Drosophila melanogaster: one gene and its partner. The protein of the gene in region 2 interacts with the protein of the main gene of each other region in a pairwise test. Each region holds a gene or a part of one and is shown on either strand. Other genes may lie near its edges.

Evidence for each region.
Region 1: the proteins of CG8206 (region 2) and h-cup interact in a two-hybrid assay, tested with the Drosophila melanogaster proteins (one large-scale study listed by BioGRID).

The regions. Positions count from the first base shown.
Region 1 is NT_033777.3:15,381,237-15,384,991, reverse strand, and holds h-cup (heineken-cup), read left to right. Parts: upstream 1-2,040; 5' UTR 2,041-2,122; coding exon 2,123-2,893; 3' UTR 2,894-3,110; coding exon of another isoform or gene 3,111-3,338; 3' UTR 3,339-3,397; coding exon of another isoform or gene 3,398-3,496; 3' UTR 3,497-3,585; downstream 3,586-3,755. Other genes in the region: Rbp (RIM-binding protein), read right to left, coding at 1,257-1,735, 1,802-1,925, 3,111-3,338, 3,398-3,496, 3,664-3,755.
Region 2 is NC_004354.4:15,737,323-15,740,964, reverse strand, and holds CG8206 (uncharacterized protein), read right to left. Parts: upstream 1,736-3,642; 5' UTR 1,563-1,735; coding exon 987-1,562; 3' UTR 548-986; downstream 1-547. Other genes in the region: CG11679 (uncharacterized protein), read left to right, coding at 2,139-3,401.

The DNA.
Region 1 (3,755 bases), on a different chromosome or scaffold from region 2:
GTATGTATGTGTATTGTGTGGAATTTGGAATATTCGGGTTTTTTTTCAGAATTTACAGGGTATTCGTTGTGTTTGTGGTATTTGTACAGGTGTTGTTACACAAACATAGAATCACACACACAGAGATACAGATGCAGACATACATATAGATCGAGTCGATTGATTGATTCGTTTTGACCGCACATCAATCATAATCGGAGTTATGGGAATCGAGTTAGAGATTTCATCATTATTACAGTAGTAGTAGTAATAGAGAGAGAGAGAAAAAAAGGGAAGACAGAGAAAGCACATAAAACGGAAAGAGAGATCACAGATACACGTTTATTCAGCTGCCATTGGAAAAAGGCATCTAGAACGTCTTAAATGGACATCTATGCATGAACAACTGAGCATGTTGGTGGTGATTTTCGGCTGGTCATGAGTGCCTATTGAATCTGCAATTAACTTAAGCCGTCTCCAAGCGAGGATTCGTGGTTATGCAACACGGCTAGCATCCAATCATCACCATTAAAAAGTTTATCAACGAGTAACGGAAAGCTTTCAAACATGTAACTCCTTCAAGAGATATAAACTTAGTAAGTATGTATATGTCTGTAAATGCAGCAGATGCATGAGCTAGGTTGTGTACAATCAGTTTAACAATATATGAACTTCGAAGGAATGCTTCAAAACTATTTGATTAGCTTGCAAGAAATGAACTGAGTATAAGAAGCAGTTCTTCGATTTGTGCATGACCAATGATATATGAATATACATTTGAATAATATTAGTGACATTTATAACTAATACCATCCTCGATACGAGTGATTTACAATGAAATTTTATAGCATGCCAGCGAATTTGATTTCAATGATACAGAGAATACTTATGTAACAGGCAATCAAAGGTCGAATACAGATACTCAAACGATTTAGTTTTTAAATGGTTGTGTTTGTGATTCAGTGTAATGTGATATTCGGTGGGTGGCTTTCGATGTGAATGTATTTATTTTCATCAGTAATGAGACTACAACAAACGGCCGGTGGCTGCAGCAGCGACGATCAACAGAAGCGGATGGTCGCTATATATGCTATATGCTATATGGCTAGGCTATATGGCTACTCAAACGGATCGAATTTACATACAACTTATAACGCATATATATAGCACTTTCTAGATGTGGCAAGCTTTTAAGCAAATCGATCGGCAGCGGTACATAATTGCTGTGGTTGCTGTTGTTGTTCGTAGTTCATTGCGATTGAAAATAGGTGGTTTACCTGACTTAATGCCGTTGGCATAGCCTTCATCGTGTGAATATTTACCGGCAGGGGTGGAATGCCAGTGATTCCACTAGTTCCGCTCAGCAGTTTCTCCACGGACGTCTGTCCGGTTCCGTACTGCATCGATTGAATGGCATGGCTGCTTAGACTCGAGGATATGCCGCTGATTGAGTTGGGCACCAGGGCCGATATGGATGATAGGCCGCCTTGGCCGCCGCCCCCGACCACGCCTCCCGATCCAGCGGAGACGCTGTGGGCGGCAGCAGCGGCGGCCGCGCTGTGCGAGCCAAGACTGGTGCCGCTCAAGCTGGTGCTGGCCCCACCATTGGGCAGCGTGGAGGCCAGCGATTGCGGCAGGCTTGAGTAGCCGGAGGATAGGGCGGAGACACCGCCGCCGCCGCCGCCGACGCCACCTCCTCCTCCTCCGCTTCCTCCCAGAACTGCTCTTTTGTAGCGGTTCAGTTCTTCTTCGAGTTCTGCGGGCATTACAAATTCCATTCTATATTCTATTTCTGTATTAGTGTTATCTCTGGCTTGCTTACCACTCTTTGATATGGTTCTAAATTCGCTATTTACCGTGCTCAACATGGAACTGGGCGGCAATGCTGACATGCTGGCGCTGGCCGAGGTGCGAGGTTGTTCCAGCTCGGCCAGCACGCGATTATCCTGCAATTAGGCAATAAGGATAGATAGATTTGTAGTAAAATGACAATTCTCTAGAGAACTTGAATGTACATCTTAATAGGCTATTACTTTAGCATTGATCTATTATTTCCCCAACTGCCCTGAGAAGTCCGAAGTAGACAATTTTGTATAGAAAAAAATCCAAATTCAACGTGAGCAATCCAAACCAGATTGGACGGATGGATAGCTCGGTGCCATCCGGAGCCGAAAGCGGTCTTATCAAGGAGTACAAGGACTTTGCCAAATGCCTGGACGAACTGGAGTTCAAGACCGATGAGCTGCTAATCGATGCTAAAATGGTGGATCAGGAGTTGGCCAACTGCCACAAGTTTCGCGAGGATCAGCTGCTGAAGCATCTGACGGAGAAGAACGACGACGACGAGCAGATGCAGTTGCTGCGGGAAAACATCGAGCTCAAGGCGACCGGCGTTGAGTTCCAACACGGCATTGAGCTGATCATGGAGAAGTACCGTGAGCACAGCGAAGGGGACATGTTAATCGATACCTACCAACTGAGGGAGCACTACCTGGCCGGTTTGTCGAAGGTGGTCGAAGAGCAGGATGCCCGCATCGAGCGTATGGTTGATGTGATGAAGCTAACTGTCGACTTCGAGGACCGGAGCAGTGCCGAGAACCAGCAGATCATTTGCCAGCTGACTGATGAAAATGAGCAGTTGCGTCGTCAGTTGCAGATCAGTACCACCGATGAGCTGTTCCGCCAGGGAGCACTGAGCTCCAGCGAAAGTAGCACTCAGATCGGACCAAACGATTCTTTGGATTCGAGTGCCACCCGGGAGAATAGCATCTACAGCATAGATAGCTTCCTCTCCTGCCTTTCGCCGAGCAGCGTGGAGGATGATTCGGAGTGCTCATCCAACAATTCGCTGCTGAGTGAGCTGGAAGTCACTTGCTTTATTGAGGAGGCTCTGGCCGAGAAGCCCGAGGAGTAGACCTACAACATGGACGAATAGGCACAACACACGTTCCTGCCCCACTGCAACACTGGCTGTTTACGTTGATTGAATACTTGGTACTTGGTACCCGAAATATAATTTCATTCGAGGCTACACTATCCACACACTACTAGCTGTCTGTTAGCTGTTGCTGTTCTTTCATAAAGATCTATATACCATTTGCACTCCTAGGAGATTAGTTGCACTTAAATACCTGCTCAATCTTTGCCATTATGATATCAATCTCGGATCCTTGGTCCTGGTGGCTGATTGTCGGTGCCCAAGTGACGGTGGAGCTGCTGGCCGATGTAGGAATGGTCGCGCCGCCACCGGAGGACACGCTCCCCATTCCGGAGCAGGCCGAGCGGGATGCCTGTTTGGCCTTCAGAGCCGACGTCAGTTCGATTTGCAGCTCCTCGCAGCGCACATTTTCCAGCGCAACCTATGGATTTTTAGAGTTCAATACGATTGAGTAGATATGATTTGAGGGCATATAGTCACCTTCTTTTCCAGTTCCCGGGCTCTCGACTGCAGATTCTCCACCGCCTCGGCATCGGGACGAGCGCTACCGCTCAGATTGCGTATTTGTGCCAGGGTTTCCTAGGATAGCATATATATATAAATACAGATAAACAAAATGTTCTATAAATCCTATAACAATACAATTGCAATATACTGTTCTTAAAATCAAACTATAGTACCATAGTTTTTCATCTGAAATTCCATTAATATGTGCATGAGTTCACGGTACCTGGAAGGACACTCACCTGATGCGCCCGCTCGATCTCCGTGCGCCGCATCTCGGCATCGCGCAGCTGCAGGCTGAGGGCGTCCAGCATTCCGTTGGGGGTGGTGCCAG
Region 2 (3,642 bases):
GGGATAGATCTTAATGAAGTTTCAAATGAAGTTAATTAATTTAGATGTCAAGAGATGGATGTAACAGTTGGTAGAACCACTTGGCAATAACTACAGACTCCGTGGGCTTACTATCTTCCGTCCACATGCCATCAGCGCACAAAATCCGTTGTTGTTAGCCAATTTGGGGGCATATCTCTTAGGGATTCGGCGGCCCCTTACGACGCAGAAAAGATCACTCGACAGGGGCGTGTTTTTCATACTTATATGTATTTATATATGGTATGCATTAGTGTCTAGCCCCAAAGCCGTATCTATACCTACCAATCCGGCACATTTCACCATTGCGTAGCCAGGCCGGCAGCGTGCCAATTTTTATTGTTGCGATAATTAGCACTCCGGCTGTGTTTTGATCGATCCGATCAATTAGCGAGCGGCCACCGAGCCCCTTCGGCTTCTACCGGCTTCTAGGGCTCTCCAGATAAATAAATGAGTCCACTTTTGACTGGGCACGTCTAGTATATATGCGTGTGCGTACACAGAAAAAAAAACCTGGTCAATATAAGATAGGCACGGCGTATATTGACAAAAATTGATGGCTTGTAGCCAAAACTTGATGATTGTACATATACATATGTATTTTAACATTTATATCAACAATGAGACATTTTTCTTTCTGTGCACCCTGATTAGATAGTCTACAGCGGAATAACAGATTTAGCCATATACAATGTTTGTTTTTTGCTTTTGAACTGGTCGTTCCTTTAATCACTTTTTTAGGCATTACTCACGGCCCGAAACAATCAACAATTACAGTACAATTATTATATACAGCCGTCTGAGCTCGGAAACAGAATGTGGGATTCCGGTTTGCAGTTGGGTACTTGGGTGCTTGGTTGCTTGGGTTCAATGTGCCACCCCGTGTCGAGTGTGTCCTCCTCAGACACGATTCGCAGGTTGACGGCACCAGGTTCTCACCTCTACTGATGCCCCTTTGACTAGAGTTCCTAAATCAGCTCGCCGCGCTCGTTCACCTTGATCACCCGGACGCGGGCATGCCGGTCGGCCAGCACCTGGTCGATATTCTTGCTGGTACTGATTCCAGAGCTAATGCTGCTATCGCCATCGCTGCCGGTGAACAGTCCCAGATTGTCCTTGATCAGATGGTCGACGGCACAGCCGTCGCACTGTAGGATCACCACGCCGCTGTAGTAGGCCTCTTCGCTGATGGTCTTCGTGTTGCGGGTGTTGCACAGCTTGCAGCGGTACACCAGCTCCATGCGGCGTTGCATGCGTCGGAAGCGCTTCAGTGTCGTCGGCGACAGAGAGCCATTCGCCTGGTTTCCGGACGTGGAGCCTCCCAGGTCAAACTGCTTGGCCGTGAAATGGCACGCATCGAGTATGGAGCGCGGTATGGAAAGCGGTGCTGGACGCGACGATTTTAGGTGCTGCTCGGCATCGTTGGTTAGCGGCACGGCGTCCACCGCTTGTTGCTGCTGGGTGGCGTTGAGGATCGCGTTTTGTCCATTCTGGCGCAAATAGTTGAGAGTTCGCGATGTGAAGATGTTGCGCAATGCGTTCATTTTATGTTGCTACTAAGCGGTGTTGCACATCCGCGTTGCTTTCTGCTCTTGCCGCCCGCTGCAGTGCGTCCTGAATTCTGGCGCCGCACGTGCTGAATGTGGGGTAGTTACTGCGTTTTGTTTTGCCCCAAATGGGGAAGAAAATGGTTAAGTGGAGCGATGAAAACAGCTGATGGCTATCGTTATCGGAGCAGTGCAGGCGGTTGGCCGCTTAAATTCAGTTCTCACATTTTGGCTATTTTGTATCCAGGTTCAGTAATTTGTCTCTATTGGCAGAAGTTTATGTAGTATGAGTTGAAGACTCGTTACAGCATTTCAAAAAGCAAATAACAGAATTTCAACTACCAAATTTGTAGTATAAATACCAAGCAATAATGAAAATTCATAGCTTAGAAATAACTAACGGCCGAAGAACCGAGTTCACCACTGAGTGCCTATCGGATTCGATAATCACAACAAAAGGCAATCGGAGGCCGGCTACTATATTATATAGCCACCAGATACGATTCGTTACCAAACCGATCTCAACTCCCAGAAATGGGCCACTAATTGCTGCTGGAGCATAAATCAAAAGCCATGAACTTTGCACGCCTGAGATTCGGGCAGATGGTCCTTGGAGGACTTCGAATTCCGCGCCAGCAGACGCAGACGCAGTGGATGATGGACCGCCGCCGATGGTTGGCCAGTGAAGCCACCTCATCGGCTGCGGCGCCAGCTCAAGCAGCTTCTGTACCTAGAACTCAAACGCAACCGCGGGTAAAGCCATTGCCGCTAGCCGAGGAGCGCTTGGAGTCGATACTATCGCCCATTCGCACCAGGATCATTCGAAAGAAGCGCTTGGCCATCGATGAACTGTCCGCTTTGGGGTTTCTCAACACCCGTGGTTATACGACCGCCGAGGAGTACAATCTGGAGGATCTGCAGATAGCCCTCCGCGAACAGAACCTGTACGAGACGAAGCGTTTCTTCTCCACAGACAATCTGGACGTGGAGCAGAATGTGCTCTTTGTGGCGGCCAAATATCCGACGGGTCAGCAGCCGCGGGAGATATTCTTCTTCCGCGAGGGCTCGGTGGTCTTTTGGAACTGCAGCGACATCGAGACGAACAATGTGCTAAGTTTCCTGCGCGCCTTCGAAAGGGAATCGTATGTGAGTGCCCTGGTTCACGGGGAGAGCGAGGTGATGCCCTACACCTACATTCCATCGACGGCGGTGGATGTGGAGGGCGATCTGGTGGCGGAGAGCAGCGACTTCAATGTCACGTCACGGGCATTCTTCCAGAATGGCAAGTTCTTTGTTACCGCCGATACGGATAGTTTCCTGTATAAGTACACCTTCTCCAATGCGATGGCACAGTCAATAAAGCTGGGCATGTGGGAGGCGACACTGGACCGCTACATAGACTCCATAGAGCATCTCACCGAGGATCTAAAGCGTGGTCGCCGATTAAGAATCTCGCGGGCGGCCATGCTGCGAAAAACCGGTGAATTATTTGCCCTGCGTCATGTGATCAACCTGTCGTCGGATCTGCTGGATGCACCCGATTTCTACTGGGACCGCGAGGAACTGGAGGCACTCTACCTGCAGGTGTGCTCCTACTTCAGCATCTCACGGCGCACCAAGGTGATGAACGAGAAGATCAACCACTGCGTGGAACTGGCCGAGCTGGTGTCCCACAATCTGAACGATGCCCATCATATCCGGCTCGAGTGGATGATCATAATCCTGATCATGGTAGAGGTGGGCTTCGAAGTGCTGCACTTCGTCAGCGATCACAGTGATTCGCATAAGCTAGAGGTCCTGCCACTGGCTGCTCCTGCCGCCTCGATTCCCAATTAGCAAGTAGGCTTGGTCGATAGTTTTTTGTACTATATTTGTATTTTGACGAAATATAGAATTGTTAGCGTTCCAAAAGTTTGTTTGATCTGTGCTCTATTTTTTTTTTGTCCTTTTTAATTTGTTGTTGCCCGTTAAAAACACCAAACATTACGATTTTAAAATTCTCACTAGATCCAATTTAAAAAAATGGCTAGATTAATCGACAGCACTAAAGCAGACGAAGTGTCATTTCTTTTCCTCT